Linked DNA regions of Tamandua tetradactyla. The protein of the gene in region 1 purifies or fractionates together with the protein of each later gene. This does not show direct contact. Links are inferred from orthologs where the notes say so. Each region holds a gene or a part of one and is shown in the gene's direction. Other genes may lie near its edges.

Region 1 (11,277 bases):
TTCCAACCTAGGTCTGAAGTCCTCTTGGCCACTTTGTGACTTAACCAGAATCCTAGAGTAAATCATTTTTTCTCCTTATATCAGTTAGAGTTCATGCCCATGGCTTACAACTAAAAGCCTTGACATAAAGGCTGGCCCAAGTCCTAGAACCAGAAACTCCAGGGAAGCCACGACTGGATGGTCAGACACACAGACTAGGCTGAGACCCTGACCAAGCCTTCCTGCTCGGTCCCCAGCCCCCCTGCCCTGGAGAACGGACTGTCCGGAGAGGTCCAGGAACCAGCCCCTGCAGACTGTCCCATGTAACAGGACTGGGAGGTGTGGGTCACGGTGGAGGGAAGGGATGGAAACTGGATTGGACGACGTCGTGGGAGAAGGACTTTGTAGAGGGGGTTAGAGAGAAATTACATAGCCTTGAATCCAACCGTAGCTCCAGCCTCGCCTCATCCTGCTCGGTGCCAACCTCAGCCCCATGGCCAGCCCCCATCCTGCCCCACTCAGCAAGCACTCATCTCAACCCCAAAGGCTCAGGGGACTCAGTTTGGTTCTCCAGTCATGTGTAGTCATCTGAGCTGACTTGCTCCCACACACCGTGGGCACCCCCACCCCCCGACCCATAACAGCGTCTCAACAAATGTGCTCCCCCACCCCATCTTAATTAGTCACTGACCCACAAACCCTGCCCTCTGTGCCCTCACCCCTTCCCAAGTTTGTTCTCCCACTTTTCCAGGCCTAATCTGGGCTTTGCTGAGTACTACAGCCTGGTTTCAGGGTGAGCTGTGGAAAGGGAGGATTCTGGAGGTTGAGGGGTCGGAGGCTGCTCCATTAGGCACTTGGAAACCCACATCACCTGGACCAAACACTGCAAAGCCTTTTTTTTTGAGTGCATCGGAGAGTGCAATGTTTTGCGTGTGATGCCCGAATGCTTCTGTCCCAGCCACCTTCTGCAGAGGGAGCCCCCTGGTGGGGTCACTTGGGAATGGCTGGGCTCTGCTGGGGGTGTCCCCGAGGCCCTGAGCCCAGACTGCTCTCCACTCCTCCGGGCCTGCAGACCCTAGAAGGCCCCAAAACTGCGCGGGCAGGGCTCTGGTGAGAAAGCCCCAGAACAGTTTTTTAAGCGTTCACGAACACAGACACACTCCTGGCTGCCGCGGTCCCCGGAGCAAAGTATGCCCTCTCTTTTGATCTCTCCAAAGACCCTTTCCGGGGTCAGCGCCATCTTCTGGGGCTTCCTCCATGCGGGCGGGTATTAAGGGTTTGGGTCCATCAGTGATCCTTCTTGTGATATTGCCACATTCCCTGGGGCACTGGGCTCCAAGTTCGCTCATTCAATGATTTCCTTCTTCAGTATTTCCCAAATTCGGTGATACATGCTCACCTAACAAACACGTGCCTGGTGTTCTACATACCAAGCTCCATGCTGGGTGTCAAAGATAACAGATCAATAATGCAAGGTCCTACCTCCAGGGCACATGGTGCTGGGGCAACATGGGGGGCTTGGGTGAAGAGCAGAAGACAAATGTGGATGACCTGTCTTCAGGCTGAAAACTACTCTGATGGCCGATAACACAGGCAGAGTACAGGCACCTAATGCAGACCAGCAGTGGGCATGGCAGGGAGGACTTCCTGGAGGAGGTGATCTAGGACCATCGGTAGCTCACCATCAAACCACCCACATTAACTCTGGTTGATGGCAGTGTTCCAGGGAAAACAAACCCTTGGAATAAATATGTATATCTTCCTAGAGAGTTAAATGTTTTCTTGAAGATTTGAGTGATTAAAATAATTTTTCTATGAAAGCATTTTTAAATGAAAATATGCCATCAAAAACTATTTTGAGGTAGAATGGAGTAGGGTGCAAAGTTCCACATGAGTTTTCAGTGTAAAACAGGGTATTTTAAAGACATTGTCCTCTTCAAGTGGGACATGAGTACTCTCTCCTTTGTGTTCAGGCTCCAGTATTAGAGAATGGAATGTCAGTAGAAAATTTTGAGAAGCATCAATTTCTGGGAAAACATCTAAATCCCTTAACCTGGCCTTCAAGGCCCTTCATGATGAGACTCTCTGCCCCGGCAGCTCCGTCCTACACTGCTCTCCTACACACTCTGTTCTTCAAACAGCAGCTATTTACAGCTCCCCAAATAATAAACAACATGCTAAGCTGGTTCATGCCTTTGTGCTTTTCCACAGGCTGCTCCCTTTGCCTGGAATGCCCTTGCCCACACATCCATCTGGCAAACTCTTACTCATCCGTCAAGACCCAGCTCAAGGGGTTCCTTTTCTGTGAAGCCTTCCTAGAAGCCCTCAAGCAGAGTGAGTATGTTCCTCCCATGCACCACTCTACAGTTTGTGTTCTTCTCCTCATATTGAGAATTCTTTCCTTCGTGTGACTGTTTCTGTGATTTGATTGTGGGAGCCTGCAGGAGAGACTGTATTTTAGTTGCATTCACATTCCCAGCCCTAAGCATAGCACCTGTCCTAGTAAATGTCTATGAATACTCTGTATGAAGGACTGATGAATAAAACTTATTTTTACTCCTTTCTCCTCTCTTGCTTTTAGTGATGACAGGGAGACCAGCATTTTCCTGTAAACTTTAGAAAATGCCAAGGAATCCTGCAAAGGATAGGCTAAGCCTACTTAAAATTAGGCCTAAGAGTCACCCCCCAAAGAACCTCTTCTGTAGCTTAGATGTGGCCTCTCTCTCTTGGCCAACACAGTAAGCAAACTCACTGCCCTCCCCCTCTCTACGTGGGACATGACTCCCAGGGGTGTGGACCTTCCTGGCAACATGGGACAGAAATCCCTAGAATGAGCTGGGACTCAGCATCAAGGGATTGAGAAAATCTTTTCGACCAAAAGAGGGAAGAGTGAATGAGACAAAATAAAGTGTCAGTGACTGAGAGAGTACAAACAGAGTTGAGAGGTTATCCTGGAGGTTATGCTTACGCATTAAATAGATATCACCTGTTTAGTTAAGGTGTAATGGACAGGCTGGAGGGAACTGCCTGAAAATGTGGAGCTGTGCTCTAGTGGCCATGTTTCTTGAAGACAATTGCATGATGATATGGCTGTCACAGTGTGACTGTGTGGTGGTGAGAGCCTTGCACCTGATGCTCCTTTTGTCTACCTTATCGATGGAGAAGTAAAACATATGGATTAAAAATAAATAAATAATAGGAGGGACAAATGTTAAAACAAATGTAGTAGATTGAAATGCTGGTGATTGGTGAAGGGAAGGGGTAAAGGGTATGGTATGTATGAATTTTTTTCTGTTTTCTTTTTATTTCTTTTTCTGAATTTATGCAGATGTTCTAAGAAATGATCATGATGATGAATATACAATTATGTGACGAAAGTGAGCGTTATTGATTACATAACAAGAACGGAATGATCATATGATAAGAATGTTTGTGTTTGTATGTGGTTATATATCATAAATAAAAAATAAATAAATTTAAAAAAAAGAAAAGAAAATGCCAAGGAAACTACACACTACAAGAAAAGAAACCAGAAAATTTTCATTTAACATTGTTATAGCTATTTCACATTGTATTTCCCATGCATTTCAACTGAGAACACCCCAGATCAGTGTGGTTCTTTGACTTTGAAACCTTAGTAGAAATAGCAAGGTGAGGGAAGGGCAGAATCTTCATAATCCCCTAGCAAGTCACTACTATCTTAATCCTCATTTTTCAGAGGAGGAAACCGAGGCACAGGAAGGTTGGGTAACTTGCTCATGGCCGTACAGTTAATACATGGCAGAGCTAGGATTCAAACCCAGGCAGTTTAACTGAGGACTCCGTTCTCCCAATCTCTACACTGTATTACCTCCATGTGCAAAAGACACAGCGATGGGGACTTGGGGAATTTGAAGTAGACAAAGAACCCTTTCATAACCCATCACCCCAGTCCCATGCTCTGGGATGCCATTCTGGGATTATAAGTATCTGAGAAAGTACCCCGCATCATTTGGTACAACTCCCAACCCCAGAGGGACCAGTCTCCTCTTTGACTGCCCTGCAGTTCTGTTTCACCATGGAGAGGGAGTGAGTAGTTCTTGTTGGCCCTGATCAGCTTGGAGCAGAAAGCGTTCTTAAGAAGCAGGCCCCCTGCACCCCTGGGTGGCTGAGGACCTGCTGGCTCCACCTCCCTGGTGCCCTTTCACAACTTCAGGCTGGGGAAACTGTTGGGGCCACTTTTCTAGGGTGTACTTGGCCTGACCTTACGGTCAGGGTTTCTGTATTTATGGGTTCTGTATTTATGGGTTCCTGTACCCCATCCAGGGCATTTCAAGCAGAGAGGACACATAAGAAAAAGTTTGGCATGTCCATGGAGCAAGTGAAAAGCTAATGGCTGAGGGGAAGGAAGGAGATGGAATGGAAATATAGCCTGGGTCTACTGTTGATTGTAAAAAGCCTTATACACAAAGTAGAGGCATTTTATTTTTTCCTCCTATAGGCCCCAACGGGGATATGGAAAGCTAAGCTGTAGGTATGTTCAAAGTTCACAGTTTCACCATTTAAGAAGCTGCTTTTTTCTTTTCTTTACTTGCAGACACTTTCTCAACAACTGGGAACACTGCCATCATGTGGCTGTCTGCTGATACAGACGCCAAACTGTAAACTGTCAAATCTTCTATAATCATCTGATAATTTAAATCAAAGAACACATATTGTGACACAAGAAGCTGTAAAAAAGATACTTTTATAAAGTTTTTCAAAAAATCAACACCTGGATACAATTCCCTGATTTCTTACCTTTTTTAAAAAATTCTAAACTCAAATTGTTGGAGATTCTAATCTCAACAATTTCTTTCCCATGACCCTATTTTAGAACCGCAAACTCTCTCTGGCTCTACAACAGCTCTGCTGTTTCAGGGCAGTTGGCATCAAATAGTCTGCAGGCCATTCCCTACAACTGTGGAGATTCAGCTGTGTGGTCCTGCAGTTGCACAGACCGGAGTTCAAATATGTCTATCCTTTTAGAGCGGGGTGACTTTGGGCCAATGACCCCACCTCTCTGAGCAGCTCCCAGCAGCTCCGTCCTACACTGGTCCTCATCCATACAATGGCACTACACTTTCTTCAGAGGGTTATCGTGAGGATGGGAAGACCGCATATTTAGGGAATGCCTGGCACAACTCAGGGTCTCATAATAAGGGAATGCCTTTCCTCTTCCTTCCCCTCGGTCCTAGCAGGCAGGTTAAGGTTGAGCACAGAGCAGACGCTCAGTGGAAATCCGATTTGACATCCGAAATGCACCTGCTCGGCAGTCACGTTCCCTGCCAAGGAAAACTACTCACCCCCTCAAGGTTTGGGGTGCCACGCCTATTTTCCCGCGTGCTGTACAGCCCCCGGGGCTTGTCTCTGACTCGGCGGTGCGCGGTAGGTAGGCAGCGGGTGCGTGGGCGGGAGCCGATCGGGGCGGGGTGGCATTCATTCCTCGCCGCGGCCTTTCCGGGGCCTAGGGGTGTGTATATGTGGCCAATTCAATCCCCGTGGGACTCGGCGTCTGGTCTCACCTGCGGCTCTGCGGATTGGCTGTCTAGACTCGCCCCCGCCCTCCGTACCCCGGGCATCCTCAGGTGGCTCGGGCCCCTGCAGTGATCCCTGTTTACCGATAGAACCGCTCCAAGTTCGGCTCAGCTCTGCGCTCGCTGCTCTCCCAGCCCCGCCGGCCTGCGAAACCCGGCGGAGCCTCGCCACCCCCCCCCCCCCACACACACACACCGCCCGGAGGGGTCGGGTAAGGGGGAAGGCCTGAGTGTGGGAGGGGGAGGCCCAGGCCTGGGAGGGCCGGGTGTGCCCCGTCCCGGACTTTGGGCGGACGGGGAGGTTCCATCCTCAGGCCTGGTTCTCACTCCCCCCGCCCCCGCCCTGTCGTGCTGGGGCGGGTGACGCGTCCACTCAGGGACGCCAGGTCCCCCGCGGACCCACGGCCCGGGAGACCTCACTCCCAGGTGTTTCCCCACCCCCGCAGACGACGATGACCCCCAAGCTGGCCGGACCCCCGGACGGGGGCTGGGGCTGGATGGTGGCGGCCGCAACCTTCGCGGCGAACGGGCTCTCCTACGGGCTGCTGCGCTCCCTGAGCCTTGCCCTCCCTGACCTCGCCGAGCACTTCGAACGAAATGCTCAGGAGACTGCGTGGGTCAGCGCCCTGGCCCTGGCCGTGCAGCAGGCAGCCAGTGAGGGGGACCCCGAGATTGGGGGCGGGAACGGCGGGTGGTGGGGTCGTCAGTGGTGAGGAGGGAGACCCGCCTGCTTGCCAGACACCCCGAGCAAGGGTCACCGCCAGAACTTTAGGCCAGGCAGACAGCCAATGAGAAGTGCCCGGGCGAGTTGGGGGTTCCAGGGGCGTGTCTTCCGTTAACCCTGCCCCCTTCTAGGCCCGATGGGCAGCGCCCTGACCACCCGCTGGGGGGCGCGCCCCGTGGTCATGGTTGGGGGCGTCCTCACCTCGCTCGGCTTGGTCCTTTCTGCTTTCGCCGGCAGTCTGCTGCACCTCTACCTCGGCCTGGGCCTCTTGGCTGGTGAGGAGGAAGGAGTGCCCGGTCCTTAAGGGTGAAGGTGGCGGATGGGAGCTTGGCGGGGCCGAGTGGGGAGGGGCCTCCCGCGGAAGCCAGGCGCAGGCTCTCCGGCTCGCGCCCCTCACCCGGTCCTGTCGCTTCGCAGGCTCGGGCTGGTCCCTGGTGTTCGCCCCCGCCCTCGGAACCCTCAGCCTCTACTTCTCCAGCCGTCGAGTGTTGGCCTTGGGGCTGGCGCTCACCGGCAACGGGGTCGTTTCGCTGCTCCTGGCGCCCTCCGTGCAGTTTCTCCTTGATACTTTCGGCTGGCGGGGCGCCCTGCTCCTCCTCGGCGCCTTCACCCTCCACCTCATCCCCTGTGGAGCCGTGCTGCGACCCCTGGCGCTCCCCGGCGACCCCCCGGCTTCACCCTGCGGGGCCTTCGCTGCCCTCGGCCTGGATCTCTTCACTCAACGGCCCTTCTTGATCTTTGCTCTGGGCATGCTCCTGGTGGGAGGCGGGTACTTCGTCCCTTGCGTACACTTGGCCCCCCACGCTTTAGAGCGGGGCCTCGGGGGTTACGGGGCCGCGCTTGTGGTGGCGGTGGCTGCGGTGGGGGACGCGGGCGCCCGGCTGCTGTCCGGGTGGCTGGCGAATCAGGGCTGGGTGCCCCTGTCGCGGCTGCTGGCGGTGTTCGCGTCTCTGACCGGGCTGGGGCTGCTGGCGGTGGGACTGGTGCCAGTGGAGGGGAGCAGCAAGGGTTGGGGGGACCCCTTGCTGGCCGCGGCCGGAGCCTACGGGCTGAGCGTCGGATGTTTCGCCCCGCTGATTTTCGGGGTGCTCCCAGGACTAGTGGGCCTCGGAGGGGTCGTGCAGGCCACGGGGCTGGTGTTGTTGCTGATGAGCATCGGGGGGCTCCTAGGGCCTCCCCTGTCAGGTAAGAGCCTGAGCCAGGAGATCCACTCCCAACCCTCCTCTGCCCCTCGTCAGAGGCCTCCAAGTCCCTTGACCCCCTCCTCACCCTGCTCTCAGGCTTCCTACGAGATGAAACGGGAGACTTCACTGCCTCCTTCCTCGTGTGCGGTTCCTTCATCCTCTCTGGCAGCTTCATCTTCATGGGGCTGCCCGGGGTGCTGCCCCACTGCAGTCCAGACTCACCTCCCTCCCACCCTCCTCCTGAGAAGGGGGAGCTTCTCCCTGTTTCTCAGGCCTCCCTCCTCTCCCCAGGAGGCCCCGGCCCCATTCTGGACACCACTTGTTGATCATTTTCTTGTTTGAACCCCTCCCCCCAATAAAAAGAAAATGTCCTTTGGGTTTCCCTACAATCTTCAACTATTAGCCAAACTAGTACAAGGAAAACATCCTACTTAAGTTAGCCAAAAAGGCTGGTTTCTTCTCTGTCTTCAGAGAAGAAACTTAGGAGGCAACACTAGAGATCACATATAAAACAAAAACTTCTTGGTCTTTTATTTTTACAGTTGATTCACAGCTCAGTAGGGTAGGCTGAACTCTCTGATCCTTGAGAAAAGGTCAGGGAGCAAAAGAGAAGAGGTAAGAGTCCTCAACAAAAGAACAAAAGTTGGCCCATACATTCCAGAAGCCCCAGGCCTGCCTGGGGAGAGACAGATCAAGACGCTTAAGGCACTGTGGTTCTGTGGGGACCATGACGGGGCAGGAGGAGAAGACATGGAGCAGCGGAGTTCTGGCTTTCTGTGCCTGACTGCTCCTCCCTGGAGTTTAGTCCTCTCCCAGCCCCTCCTTGGGCAAGGGGATGTTGGTATCCAGTGCCACTGTTACAAGGTCCTGGGGCCTGGGGGTAGGAGGTGAGAAGCAGGGGAAGTGGGACAGGGTGATGAGAACTCCACTCCCTGCAAGGAGAAAGGCCCCAGCCACCACAAAAGAAGCTGTGTAGTTTCCTGTCACATCCCGGAGGTAACCTAGGCCCAAGAGAGAGAGATAAATTACACATGGGGGATCAAGCACATTTTTGAGTAGAGGGAACAAAAAAAAGCTAGTACCCATTACGTTGGAAGAGTTGGAACTCTTAAGGAAGGACTGGAGCTAGAGAACTCTGGTTTCCCAAGGGATCTCAAAAGGTTGATTCTAAATTCCTTCTTGCCTTCAGAAAGGGACCTTCAAGGCAGCCAGTAAGGATGAGGGGGTGGGGGTTCCAGAGGCAACTAAGGCCCTTCTCCAACATCAGTTCCCAGTTAAGAGGAAAATGTTAAGGGTTTGAAAGTTCTGGCATCTTGAGCAATGAGATCTTTGACCAGACAGGGGCCCAAGGAGCCAAAGGAAAGGGAAGACATTGTGGCATACTAAGTCTGGCCAGGGCCATCCAGATCCTCTGAAAACCCACCACAGACACCCTCTCAAGGGTTCCACTTAGCTCCTCTTTGTCTTTGCACTCAGACTTTCCCAGCCCCAGTTTTCTTTGCCCCATTGACCCATTTCAGGTTGCGTACTATACAACACTAGGGAGCAGCATTCAAATACACTATAGTGTAAATTAGTTTCCCTACCCCCATTCTCCTTACCTGACAGTGGAGCCCCCAGCAGCCCTCCAATGCTCTCTACCATCTGTACCAGTCCCAGGCCACAGTATATCCTTCCAGTTCCCACCAGTTCAGGCAGCAGAGAAAAAGCCACTGGGGTCAGGGCTCCAGATGAGAAGCCATAGGCCACAGCCAGAGCCATCAGGGCTTTGGCCGCCTGAGCTACGGGGAACAGGATGAGTGACACCCCTGTCAGTGTTGTCCAGAGCATCAGGAGTCGTGCCACAGGCCATGGTACTGCATCTCCCAGCCACCCAGAGGCCACACGCCCCACGAGGTCAGAAATAGCAGCCACCGAGAGTAGGAAGGCAGCAGCCAGGGGGTCCCAATCCAGGTCCTGGAGATGGGCCACCAGGTGAACATAGGGAATGAAGTAGCCGGTGTTGATCAGGGTGAGGGCCACAGTGTAACGGATGAAGGGGCCATGATGAAGGAGGGAAGTGATTTGGGCCCAAGGGCCACCCGTGGCAGGGTCTTCGGCCAGGGAGAGTGGGCGGAGAAGAGCACCACAGGCCACCAGGTGGAGGGAGAGGGCAGATACCAGCAGCAGGGCCCCACGCCAGGCATAGCGGCTGAGCAGCCACTGGAAGAAGGGGGCAAAGGCAAAGGAGGAGAGGCCCACACCCGTCAGTGCCAGCCCCATGGCCAAGGATCGACGGCGAGAGAAGTAACGGGACAGGCAGGCCAGGGTCGGAGTGAAGGTCAAGGCCCAGCCACAGCCTGCCAAAAAAGAAGAAATGGGGATTGAGGGACCCTCAGGGGCTCAGAGCACCAGACAATTCCAACACTGCCCAGCAGCAGAATGTAGTACTGGCTTCAGAGTCCCACAGACCTGAGTTACAACCCCAGCTTTGACACCTTCTAGCTGTGTGACCTTGGGTATTTTAATCAGTCTTCCAGCCTCAAACTCCTCATCTGAAAAATGAACCTAATATACCTCATGAGACTGTAGAGAATTAGAGAAAATGTCTGTAAATAGCACCGTATGTTGGAATTAGACTTGGGCTCTAGCATTCCAGTAGTATGACTTTCATTTGCCAAGTTGCATAATCTTTTAAAGCCTTTCTTCATCTGTAAATAAGATATTTATTTCACACCCACAGTACCTGGCACCTTTTTTATAATGGTTCTCCCTTTTATGCTCCAGCCCCACTAGCCCTGGGTTGATATATTCTGGACTCATTATCTTTGAATGCTGCTTATCAGTTTAGCCATCTCCCTAAGGATTCCCTCTCTGGGCTAGGTGCCAGCCAGAACTTTCCCTCAGCTTCTCCCTAAGTCTTTTGGAAGGACCGGGAGAGATGTGAAAGTCCAGAGGCTAAAAACCCAGGCATTTTATTACTCTCCTACCCTTGCCAAGATCTCACCTGACAGCAGCCCAATACTCAGGTACAGGTGGGTCAAGGAGGTAGCAAAGGTGGCAAGCAGCATCCCCAGCGCAGCTAAGATGCCCCCTGTCATCACCACGGGCCTGGGCCCGAACTTCGTGCTCAGGGCACTGCCCACTGGGCCTGGGAAAGAGGAAGGCGCTCAGCGAGGTCTCAGGCGTCCTCCCTGAGTATCCCCTCTCCCCCACCCTTCCCCTTTGCCGCCCCCAGCCCCCCCAGCCCCAGGACTCAGGACCCAGGCGCAGCACTCACTTCCAAACTGCTGCACCGCGATTCCTATGGAGGCGATCCAGGAGACGCGCGCTGCCTGCTCCTCAAACGCCGCGACAAACTCCACGAAGAAGACGCCAAAAGAGCGGAGCACCCCAAACACTAGCGCCGACTGGAGGAAGGCTGAGAGCACCACCATCCACCCCCAGCCCCCGTCGGGGGCCTGGGCCCTGCGCGCCATCTGGGCGGTAGCTGGGCCGACGCCACTAAGATATCCCGCGGGAGCAGGGCTGAGGGTGCTGCACCTCTGCACACCTCCCCACCCAGCCGCGCCGCCCCGGCCCAATCGGCGGCGAAGAGACTGGGCAGCAAGGGAGGTATGGGCGAGGGCTTCAAAGTTGCCCAGAAGCGGCGCGAGGCGCCTGCGTCTCTCTGCGATGGGGGGCTATGGAGAGGGAAGGCTCAGCCCGGGCTGCCGGCGACTACAGGCGCCTAAGACTCCGCGGACCAGGAACTGATTGCCGAGGCCTGGGCGGGGCGGATCCGGGCAGAGCCCCATGTTAGATGTAGGAGCCAAATAGAGGGACCGGGTTTGCGTCCACCGCTCAGGATATCCAG
Region 2 (12,375 bases), on another chromosome or scaffold:
GTCCATTTTATACGCCATTTTGTGACTCAGCCTAATCCTTTCAAAGACATGTTCAAACTACATCTGCTTTGATCTGCTGCCAATTTCCTTGAACCACCAACATTAACTGAATCAGCCCCTTGCCAGCTGTCCGTTTTTTTTTTTTTTAAAGCTTTTTAATTTTGAAATACTTTAAACTTTTAGGACAGTAATGAAGATATTACTAACCCAAACAGAAAATTCCAACATATCCTTATTGCCCTAGATACCCAGATCTATCAATTTTAACATTTTGTCATATTTGCCATATCTGTCTGTCTGTCTGTCTGTCTGTCTATCTATCTATCTATCTATCTGGTTTGCTAAAGCTGCTTGGATGCAATATATCAGAAATGGGTTGTCCTTTACAATGGGGATTTATTAGCTTACAAATTTACAGCTCTAAGGCCATGAAAATGTCCAGGTTAAGGCATCAACAGGACAATACCTTCTCTGAAGAAAAGCTCTTGGAATCCAGGACACCTCTGTCACACGGAAAGGCACATGACAGCATTTGTTGCTCCTTCTCTCCAAGTTCCATCGTTTTCAGCTTCTAACCTTGGTGGCTTCCTCTATTAGCAACTCCAGTTATTTTTAAATTTTTCTGTCAGCTCTCTGGGTTTTTTCCTGTCTTTTATCCCCTCATTAAGGACTTGAGGAGGTGGAACAAGATCCACCTTGAATGAGGCGGATCACATCTCAATTGAAATAAACTAACCAATAGTCCCACCTACACTAGGTTTGCACTCGCAGGAATGGATTACAAGAGCATTGCCTTTTCTGGGGTTACTTAATGGCTCCAAACTGCCACACTATCTATTTTCTGAACACTTGAGTGTAGGTTGAATACTTCATGCTCCTTGAAAATTTATTACTGACATGTATATTTACTAAAATGAAGATATTCACTTAGGTAACCACCTAAGTGCAGTTATCAAGTTCAAGAAATTTTTTAGGTGCAATTTTATTGAGATACAGTATATATTCACATACCAAATAATCATCCAAACTGTGCGGTCACTGGTTCATAGCCATACATTTGTCATCACAATTGATTTTTTTTTTTTGTATGCTGTATGGTGGGGGGTCACATTACATTATTTTTCCATGTGAGTAGTCCATTATTGCAGCACCAGTTGTTGAATTTGGGGGGGGGATAAGAAGTACGTGGGCCAGAAATTGAACCTGGGTCTCCCACATGGCAGGTGAGAATTCTACCACTGAACTATCCTTACACCCCCCCCATGATTGATTTTTGTACATTTTTATTACTTCCCCCCCCAAAATAAAAATAAGAATAAAAGTAAAAAAGAACACCCAAAACATCCCATACCCCACCCCCTTTGTTTGGTTTTTTTGTGTGTGTTATTTTTCCTTACTTATCTGTCCATAAACAAGATAAAGGGAGTACAGTCACAAGGTGTTTTTTTCTGCTTGTTTTTTTCTTTGTTTGTTTACATGAACAGGCTCTGGGAATCGAACCCGGTCTCTGGCATGGCAAGCGAGAATTCTGCCATTTGCCACCATTGCACCGCCTAGTCACAAGGTTTTCACATTCACACGGTCACACCTTAAAAGCTCTATAGTATTTTGTCATCTGCAAGAATCAAGGCTATTGGATTACAATTCAGACGTTTCTGGTATTTCCCTTTCGCTACTCCAGTACACCAGAATCTGAGAAGGCATATCTGTAAAATGCATGAGAATAAACTCCAGAATGACCTTTCAACTCTATTTGAAATCTCTCTGCTACTGAAACTTTATTTTGTTTCATTTCTCTTCCCCCATTTGGACATGAAGACTTTCTCAATCCCATGATGCCAGGGCTAGCCTCATCCCCACAAGTCGTGTCCTACTTTTCCAGGGTGATTTATACCCCTGGGAGTCAGGTTGAACTTTCCCTTCAACCTGTAGAGCTCGCTTTTGAACTGTTCCTAGGGCCAGTCTAGTGGTGACAAAAATCTCTCAGCTTTTGTTTATCTGGGAATGTCTTAATTTTTCCTTCAGTTTTTAAGGATAGTCTCACTGGATATAGAATTCTTGGTTGGCAATTTTTTTGCTTTCAGCACTTTAAACATGTTATCATGCTGACTTTTTGCCTTTATGATTTCCAATGAGAAATCAGCATTTAATCTTATTGCAGCTCCCTTGTGCATGACACATTGCTTCTCTCTTATAGCTTTCAGAATTCTCTCTTTATCTTTGACTTTTGACAGTTCGATTATAATATACTATGGTGTGGGTCTTTTGGTTTTATCCTGTTTGGAGTTTGGTGAGTGTCTTGGATATGTACGTTCATGTCTCTTGCTAAATCTGGGAAGGTTTTAGCTATTATTTCTTTGAATAGTCATACTACCCCTATCCATCTTTCTTCTTCTGGGATGTCCACACTGTGTTTATTTGCATGTTTTATACAGTGTCCCACAGGCTCCTCAGGCTCTAGTCATTTTTCCTTGTTCTTTCTTTTTGCTTCTCAGACTGAATGATATATTCAAGGTCTTATTTTTTCTTCTGCTAGCTTCAATCTGCTATTGAACCCCTCTAGGGAATTTTAAATTTCTTCTATTGTGATCTTCAGCTCTGTTTGGTTCTTTTTCATAGTTTCCAACTCTACATTGCTACTTATTTGTGTTCATCTCTCAGTTTCCTGATTTCTTTTATTTTTATGCTGCCCTTTAGCTCTTTGAGCATATTTAGAATCATTTTTTAGACCTCTTTTGTATGTCCCCATCTGGTTCTCTCATTGATGGTTTCTAATTCTTTAATCTCCTTTGCCTGGGTTATCACTTCCTGTTTCTTTGTATGTTTTGTGACCTTTTCTTGAAACCTGGTCATTTTGTCATTTTACTGCACAATTGCTGGAATTTAGGCTCTGAGGCATCTGTTCCTTAACTTTGTACCCAACTAGTATTGTAGCAGAGCTTACTTTGATTGCCATGATCTAACAAAAAAAAAAAAAAAAAAGAGGAAACAAAAAACTGCTTTTTCAGTCTTTGCAAATTGACTTGTGTGACTGTGCTCCTTTATGGCTTATCCATATAATCAGTTTATAGAGAAGCTCCAGGTGAAAGCATAAGGGATTTCCTGATCCTTTTTGTGCATTCCTGTAGCCTTAGGAATTTCCTGTTTACATAGTTCCAAATGTCCTTAGTTACCTAGGAAATAGTTTCCCCATGGTACTTGGCATTGCACTGTATATAGCCTAGGCAGGCCGACTAGAGTGTTCTCCTATAGCAATCTATAGCAGACTTCCATGAGCTGCCTTGTACAGGCAGGTGCTGTGATGGTGAGTCTCTTAGGCCAGCATCAGACAGACTGGTCCAGGCATACATGCTTCCAGTGTGTGTGTGTGTGAAAGAGTGGTCCTCTGGAACCAGGACCAGGGATCTTCACTGGGCAGGCAGGCCAGCTCCATGCCAATCTAGTAAGGGGTGTGGGAGGATTTAGCCAGGGCACCATGACAGCCTACCACTTTTACACATCCTTTTACTTGTTTCAGCACTTGCCCTGTTACTACAAAACTTTAACTGTTTTCTGGACCTTTGAGAAAGATGTTTCTGCCAGCTTTTGTTGGTTGTTCAAAGCTTCTGTGAGGGGATGGAACCGTGAGGAGTCTCACTCCTCCTTCTTGAATGGGGTGGAGCTCTGCCAGCCATCCTGTTACAAAAGGTTTACATTTTCTATTAAAAAATATCTCAATTAAATAATGAATTCCTTATTTCTACCATTCTTTTCCCTCCTATAAACTGCCTTGATTTTTTGATTCAAGACATTTGTGTGTATGGCCTCTAAAAGGGATTTTTCCCAAGACAACATCCAAAGTTATTCATGTGCCTTTTTTTTTTTTTTTGGCATGGGCAGGCTCTGAAAACTGAGCTTGGGTCTCTGGCATGGCAGGCGAGAATTCTGCCACTGAGCTACCGTCGCAACACCCATTCATGTACTTTTTTAGTGGAATTGGGAGCTTGACCAAGATTAATGCTTTAAAGGGAATGTGAAGTTAGTATCGGTGGTGTCTGGTTTAGGGTCATCTGAAATTATTTTGGATACGTGAGCTGGCAATTAGAGATGGACACAACAGCTAGTATATTCTGGAACTACCCACATTTCTTTGCTCCTGAAGCTTGCTTTTCCTTCTCCCCTATTCCTTCAACTGCTATAAACTTAGATTTTGCCCAAGGCAAGCCTAGACCCCTTTTCTCTTGTTCTAAAGCAGGTCCTGGTGCTGGGCAGTGGGAGAATGGCCCCAACCTCAGTACTCACCTCCTTGGCTTCATCTTCATCCCCATTTCACTTTATTAGTTCCTCAAAGATGTAAATCAGGCTTGTGGCCCATGCGTCAATTTGTACAAAATGCACAGACCAGGTATAGTTAATATGTGAATGGGTGCTACTCTGAAATTTTAATGATGCAGCCACAATTTGTCGGCCTAAATTGCTATTATCATGATCTGTGTAGCTCTCTAGAGAGGACGTTTACTAAAGTTTATATTCCTCATTTGCATCTAGCATCCTGGTGCTGCATAGGGTTTAAGTAATATGAGAATAAAAATGAGAGAAAACCCTTTTCTTTAGCTTTTGTCACACTTTGTTACTGGTGGTATGCATCATAATAATAATAAGTATGTCATAGAATTTCAAAAGGTTTATGAAGCAGAGTTTGATGTGTACCTTATGACTCCATTCTGTCCTATAGCAGGCCGGGCCAGTAAAGGAGAGATCCCTAGCAGGGAAACAAAGATATCTAAGCTTGTATTTCATAAGCTTCACAGATGAAATGATATAGTAGAACAACTCTTTCCTTCCTATCCATGCCTTCCTGGTTTCGCATCCATAAATGAGTAACATCTACTTCTGCTTCATCTTTTGAGATATTTTCTCTTTAATACAAACCTCTAATGAAGTTCTGCCAAAGAATGGATAAAGGAATTTTCATTAGGAAAAGAATGTTGATGGGTGACATTTTGGCTGTGTGTGTGTGTGTGTGTGTGTGTGTGTGTGAGAGAGAGAGAGAGAGAGAGAGAGAGAGAGAGAGAGAGAGAGAGAGAGAGAGAGAGAGAGAGAGAGAGAGAAAGGGAGGGAGGGGAAGGGCATGAGGGTAGGAGAAAATGGGTGAATGTGTTAATATTGGATGCGGGTGGGCTGTGTTCCACTGATCTACTGCAGGACTCACCTGAAAGGAGAAATAAGGGGAGACCTAGGCGGGACTGCCTCAAGCTGCCCCACAATGGGGCTTGTTGAAATGTCAATGAAAGAGGCACTGAACACCAAAGTGATCAGTCCAAAGCTTGAATTAGGGAACGTACAGAGAGCTGCAGCTACCTTGTGACAGACAGTGAGACTTGTTCAGTCAGGTATGCGTGTATTTATGGCAACTGCTCTATAGATTATATATGGCTGGAGAAAAAAAGTGGCTAAATATCAAGGGCTTGGGTGCAAATTTTGGGAAAACATCCTGGTATATGTTCTTATCTCAAAACAGTATACAGTTGGAGTGGGCAATGTTCAAGGTTATTATAGTAGCCAAAGCTTGGTATGCTTCCAGGTAGTTATGGGGGGAGGGGGTTATGGAGGGCAGGGAGGTGCCAAGGGTGAGGCCAGGTAATATCAGTCAGGTAATAGATGCTTTATGTAACATACAGGACGGAAGAAAGGTTTTATAGCTCAGTGGGACAGCCCACTGACAGCCCAATGAGAAACTCAGGACATATTTTCCTTTATGTTATTGTCAGGGGTTAGTATTCTTTAGCTACGTTATTAAAGGATTATTTGATGGGAAAGTGCATTTCAACTTCCAAAGGAAAATTGGAGGGGATTAAACCTTTGGAACACAGCCTAATGAAGACATGGATTATGGCTGGGCAGAGTTTTTTAATAAACAGTATTGTGAAAGCTGTCTGTAAAGTATAAAGCTGAAGCAAAAAAAGGGATTGCTAACTTAGATAACATTTTTCATACATAGAAAAAGAATGAACTGGAAATCTAATCTTGCACTAGGAATAATTTTCTGAACAGAATATTAGAAAAATGAGATAAAAATCCCAGTTTTAATTTAAATTGAATGAAGTGTTTAAAGCATGCAGCCAAGTTGACAATAATGTGCCTTTGTCCCCCACTCTGATGTGTTTGATAATGTTGGGGATACTTTTGTGGGCGGTAAGTACGGGTGCTCTAAAGTCAAAGGAATGGAAATTAGTTACTACTGTTAAAAAAAGGAGCTTTGATGAAAGTGGGACAGGCAGAAATGGAAACCTTGATTCCTTATTAAAAATTTACAAAAGAAAAGTGACAGAGCAAAATAGGAAGTCATTTACAGGTAGAGGCTGTGCCAGACTGAAACCATAGCTGGAAAACAAGTACTGGTAGAACTCTCACTGGGCATAATCCATCTTGTCTTCTCTGCCTTCTAATGCCCAGTACTATCTGGTTTTTCAATGCTCTGTAACATAGTTTCTCTGTTCTTCTTTTCATTGTTATTTGTGCTCTCATCTCTACCTCTTCATACATAGCCTTCCCTTTTCTGGCACTCTTATTTAGTCACGTAATGTCTTTAGTTCATTTATGTTTCATAAAGAGACTTTAAATTATGGGATATGACAATGAAAAAAATTTGTAAAAGCCACTTGGTTTCACCTATCTATAAGTAGGGATTTTTACATAAAATAGGCGTAGAAAAAAGGGCAAATTTTGTCACATTTTAAAACCCAATATATTTATGAATGTCTTTGGTGAATATGAGACTTTTTAAAGTCTGAAAACATTATTTTTCACAGTGTGCAATGACATTTTAGCTGTCGCAGACTGTTTTTAGGTGATCATTTAGTCCTAGTGAGAATTTGTAACCACATGTTCTTTCTCTTACAGATGTACGTTCTACAGTTCAACCTGCCAGAGAAGAAATGATGGCAAAATATTCTAACCTTTCCTTGGAGAGTCACAACATATCACTGACGGGTAAATGCCTCATCTTTCAATTAATACAATGCCAGAAAAAGATCTTGTTTTGTTTTTAATTGAGCCACTGATTTTTCACTTGCAAACTACTCATCCCTGCTCAGGGTCTGCAGGTGAAACACAATTGTCCCTTTTACAGGTATAAGAGAGTATGATGGAAATCTAACATGGTTAAAGATGGTGTTCTCTGGGTGCAAGGAAGAGGGAGATATTCCAGATCTGGTAGGGCCTTGAAAGGCTCTCTAGAAGAGGGGGCTCATGAGAAAGGACAGGTAAATTTTGGTTTGCAGATACTTTTATGTTTTCATCAATTCCTTCTGGTATGTCTTTAAAATCACTGCACTGAGATAATTCATATATCCACTGGGAGAATTTTAGCCAGAGTACAATTAATGATGACACTGAATAAGTCAGTGACCATGTTACAGAAATACAAGCAAAGAACTCCAAAATAAAACAGCTGCTGGTGAAGCTAGTGTTTTCTCTTTCACAGCTTTAGATTCCAGTGTTTCAAAAGTTATCTCACATTTCTTTAAATCACAAACAGGAGTTAATCTGTTCTAGCAACAATATTAAAATAGAAATATAACTAGAAATTAAATTATTTAAAAAATGTTTGTTAGTAACTTTTTTCCCCAACTATACATCCAGTGTTAAGAGCTGTTTCTTTACTTCCATTTGATGTGAATAAAAGGTGTCTCTTTTATTTGTTTGTTTATTCTGATGCTAATGAAACGTTTGTACTGAGCTTCTTTTAAAAAATTAGTTTTCTTTTATTGAATTTTGTGTTTTTAGTACATTTTTATGTACTTATTTAATTTTTTTGCTTCTAATATTATTGTTAGAGAAGTTATAGGTTTAAAAAACAGTCATGCATAAAATACAGGATTCCTATATACTACCCATACCCAACACTTTGCAATGGTGTGGAAACATTGGTTATCATTGACCATAGCAGATTTTTAGAATTGTACTATTTTTTTTTAACAGTAGTTACCCTTAAAATTGAAGAGAGATGATTAAAATCATACTATTTTCTATTATCCAAAATTTACATTAGCTGTATTTTTTCCCATGTACTACCCTATTGTTAATACTGTTAAGTTGCGGAAGAAGTTTATTGAGCTAAGTGGCATGCATGGGAACAGAACTAAAAGGAAATTACTGCTCAAAGCAAAGTGGCAGGGACAGTTTATATACCTGCCTAGAACAAAGAAAGGGTATGGGGGGGGTGGGGAGGGAGAAGCAAGGGGGACGTGAGCTATGCGAGTTGTTTATGGCAGGATGTCCTTGGGTACAATATATCTGCAAAAGCTGCCCTGGCAGAATGTTTGTGCAGGAATGGGCTTAGCTGGTGAAGAGTTACAGACTCGCTAGTGTCAGCATGACTGCTCATCACAATTTCTCCTTTCCCATAGAGGCGGGGGTCTTAACTAGCACTGCAAGGGATCCTTGGCACATCAGCCTACCTCAGCTGCATTTTGGTTCTTCTTTGTAGAGTCCTGAGTAAAGTAGGAGTTTAAATAAAGCTATTTCTTTTTCTAACTTCACTACATCTTGCATTAATATCATACCTTTGTTATAATCCATGAAAGAACATTCTTATACCTGTATTAAAACTATAGTCTGTCATCTAAAATGGGATTCCCTGTGTTGTACAGTCCTGTGCTTTATCTTTAAATTTTTGTACTAGTAACATGCATCCTAAAGTTTCCCCTTTTAGCCATATTCACCTCTATGGTTCAGTGCTGTTGATTACACTCAGACTTACCATCACCACCATTCATGTCCACACCTTTACCGTTACTCTAAATAGAAATTCTGTACAAGTTAAGCATCAGATCTCCATTCTGTAATCTCAGTTTATCTCCTGGTAACCTATATTCTATATTGTAACTCTTTTAGTTTGCTTATTATAATTAGTTCATAACAGTGAGATCATATAATATTTGTATTTTTGTGTCTGGCTTATTTCACTCAATATAATGTCCTCAAGTTTATCCATGTTGTCACATGCATCAGACTTCTTTCCATTTTAGGGCAGAAAATATTCCATTGTATGTATATACCATATATTATTTATCCATTCATCAGTTGATGGACACTTGAGTTGCTCCCATTTTGGGCAATTGTGAATGATGCCACTATGAACATTGGTGTGCAAACATCTGTTCATGTCCCTGCTTTCAATTCTGCCAGGTATTTACTTAGCAGTGGGACTGTCAGATTATGCTGTAATTCTGTACTTAGCTTCCTGAGGAACTGTCAAACTGTCTTCCCTGGTGGCTGTACCATTTTACATTCCCGTCAGCAGTGAATGAATGTTCTTATTTCTCAATGTCCTCTACAGCATTTGTGGTTTTCTTTTTTTTTTTTTTTAATAATGGCCATTTTAGTGGATGTGAAATGCTATCATCCTATGGTTTTGATTTACATTTCCCTATTTGCTTGCGATATTGAGCATTTTTGTGTTTTTTAGCCATTTGTATTTCCTCTTTGGAAAAATGTCTATACAAGTCTTCTGCCTTTTTTAAAATTGAGTTGTCTTTTTATTGTTGAGTTGTAGGATTTCTTTATGTTTTAGGTAGTTAACAATTATTGGATATGTCTGATAATGGAAAATTTTTCCAAATATTTTCTCCCATTGAGTAGATTGTCATTATACTTTCATGACAAATTCCTTTGATGCACAAAAGTTTTTCATTTTTATAGGGGTCCCAATTACCTAGTTTTTCTTTTGTTGCTTGCTTTGGGTGTAAAGTCTAAGAAACCATTGCCTACCACAAGATTTTGAAGATGCTCCCCTATATTGTCTTCTGGAAATTTTGTTGTCTTGGTTCTTATATGTAGGTCTTTAATCCATTTTGAGTTAATTTTTGTATATAATGTAAGATAGGGGTTTTCTTTCATTCTTTTGCATATACATATCAGTTCTCCTAATGCCACTTGTTGAAGTAAACTGGTGTGAAAGTATATTTCTGAACTCAAAATTCGATTCTATTGGTCAATATATATCCTTTTGACAGTAGTATGCTGAATCGACCATTATAGCTTTGCAATATTCTTTCTTTGGTATGCTATACGGTGGGGTCACGTTTCATTATTTTTCCATATGCGTATACCATTATTGCAGCACCATTTATTAAATTATTTGTTTGTTTCATTGTTTGTTCTTTTTTGGAGGTGGGGGGAAGAACATGGACTGGGAACTGAATCTGAGTCTTCCGCATGGCAGGTGAGAATTCTACCACTTAACTACCCTGCGCCCCCTGTAATATTCTTTAAAGTCAAGAACTGTGAGTCCTCCAACTTTGTTTTGTTTTTCAGGATGTTTTTGGCTTTTCAGGGTCCCTTACCTCTTCCAAGTTAATTTGATAATTGGCTTTTCTAACTTTGAATAGTAGGCTGTTTGTTTTTTTGGCTGGGTGTACTTTATTGATGGTACATGGTGATGGTGCATCCCTTTCTTCAAGCATCTGAGATGGAAGCTGTGGAGGATGGGTGATTCTCAGTGTTGGGCGATCGAGTTGGGAAAGGGCTCTCCAGCAGCTCATGGTCTCTTTTCCTTCATGCTGTCACTGGGGCTGGGAGTCCAGGGACTCTTAATCCTTGAAGGCCATGAAGACATAACGTCTACCATCCTCTTGCTTTAGCCAAATTCATTGTCATACCAGGAAATGAGCTTAATGAAGTGGTTGTTGAGGGCAATGCCAGCCCTAGTATCAAAAGTTGAAGAGTGGGTGTCACTGTTAAGTTCACAGGAGACAACCTGATCCTCATTGTAGCCCAAGATGTCCTTAGGGGGACCTCTGACCCCTGCTTTACCACCTTCTTGATGTCATTGTACTTTCTCCAGCCATGATGTCAGATTCACAATGAACACATTGGGGGTGGGGATGTGAAAGGCCATGCCAGTGAGCTTCCCATTCAGCTCTGGGATGATATTGCCTTCCACTTTGGCAGCATTGGTTGATGCAGTGTTCTCAGCACCCTATGGTGCCGAGAATTTTACATTCTCCTGGAGGGGCCATCCAGTCTTCTGGGTATCAGTGATGGCATGGACAATGGTCATAAGTTCCTTCATGATGCCAAGGTTGTCATGTATGACCTTGGCCCAGGGGGGTCAGGCAGTTAAAGATGCATTGCTGACAATATTGAGGGAGCTGTCATACTTCTCATGGTTCATGCCAATCACAAACATGGGGCATTGGCCAAAGGAGCAGAGATAATAACTTCTTTGGCTCCACCCTCCAAGTGAGTCCCAGCCTTCTCCATGGTTGTGAAGACACCAGTGGACTCCACAACATTTAGAACCAGCATCACCCCATTTGATGTGATGGGATCTTGCTCCTGAAAGATAGTAATGGGATTCCCATTGATGACAAGTTTCCCATTCTCAACCTTGATGGTGCCTTTGAACTTGCCATGGGTGGAATCATACTGTAACATGTAGACCCTGTAGTTGAGGGTCAACAACTCCAGTTGCTGGAGTTCACAGCAGCCCTGGTGACCAGACACTGAATATGGCCAAATCCGTTTATTCCAACCTTCATTGTGCCTTAGAGAAATTGCTGGCACTGCACAAAAAGGTGAGGCTGATCTGTTGAGCAGGGAGAAACAGAGAGCCAGCTGTTTGTATTTTTATTGAGATTGTGTTGAATCAGTAAATCATTTTGGGTAGTATTGACTTCTTAATAATATTTAGTCTTCCTATCCATGCACAGAATGCCCTTCCATTTATTTAGTTCTTCTTTGATTTCTTTTAGCAATGTTTGGTAGTTTTTGGTGTACAAGTCCTCTACATCCTTGGTTAAATTTATTCTTAGGTGTTTGATTCCTTTAGTTGCTGTGATAGTTACGTTCTGGTGTCAACTTGTTCAGATGATGATGCCCAGTTGTCTGGTCAGGCAAGCACTGGCCTGATCATTGTTGCAAGGATATTTCATGGCTGGTTGATAAACTGGAAGGCTGGTGTATTAAGTCATCAGTCAGTTGATTGCATTTGTGGATGATTAACATCTGTGAACAACTAAGGGCATAACCCACCAACATAATCCAATCAGTTGAGGCTTTTAAGGAAGAAGTGAGATTTTTTCACCGCTTCTTCAATCAGAGAGCCTCTCCTATAGAGTTTGTTCAGATCCTTCATTGGAGCTGCCAGTTTCACAGCCTGCCCAACATATTTTGGATTCTACCATTCCCACAGTTTCATGAGACACCTTTATAAATCTCATATTTACAAATATCTCCTGTTGTCTCTGTTTCTCTTGAGAACCCTGACTAATACAATTGCTATTGCTAATGGATGTTTTTCTTGACTTGCTCCTCAAACTGCCCATTTTTGGTGTATAGAAATGCTGCTGATTTTTGTATGTTATTCTTGTATCCCACCACTTTGCTGAA

What was found.
Region 2: the proteins of SLC16A11 (region 1) and EMB purify together in Homo sapiens (co-immunoprecipitation; 3 studies listed by BioGRID and IntAct, counting the BioPlex papers as one, with this or other methods). This does not show direct contact. The link is inferred for Tamandua tetradactyla from reciprocal best matches to the Homo sapiens genes SLC16A11 and EMB.

The regions. Positions count from the first base shown.
Region 1 is NC_135332.1:60,931,693-60,942,969, reverse strand, and holds SLC16A11 (monocarboxylate transporter 11), read left to right. Parts: upstream 1-5,986; coding exon 5,987-6,188; intron 6,189-6,389; coding exon 6,390-6,533; intron 6,534-6,675; coding exon 6,676-7,784; 3' UTR 7,785-7,840; downstream 7,841-11,277. Other genes in the region: SLC16A13 (monocarboxylate transporter 13), read right to left, coding at 8,244-8,443, 9,044-9,781, 10,429-10,572, 10,702-10,900. UniProt on the Homo sapiens protein: Proton-linked monocarboxylate transporter. It catalyzes the transport of pyruvate across the plasma membrane.
Region 2 is NC_135335.1:96,411,415-96,423,789, reverse strand, and holds the start of EMB (embigin), read left to right. Parts: upstream 1-6,859; 5' UTR 6,860-6,917; coding exon 6,918-6,972; intron 6,973-10,163; exon of another isoform or gene 10,164-10,200; coding exon of another isoform or gene 10,201-10,207; intron 10,208-12,375. UniProt on the Homo sapiens protein: Plays a role in the outgrowth of motoneurons and in the formation of neuromuscular junctions.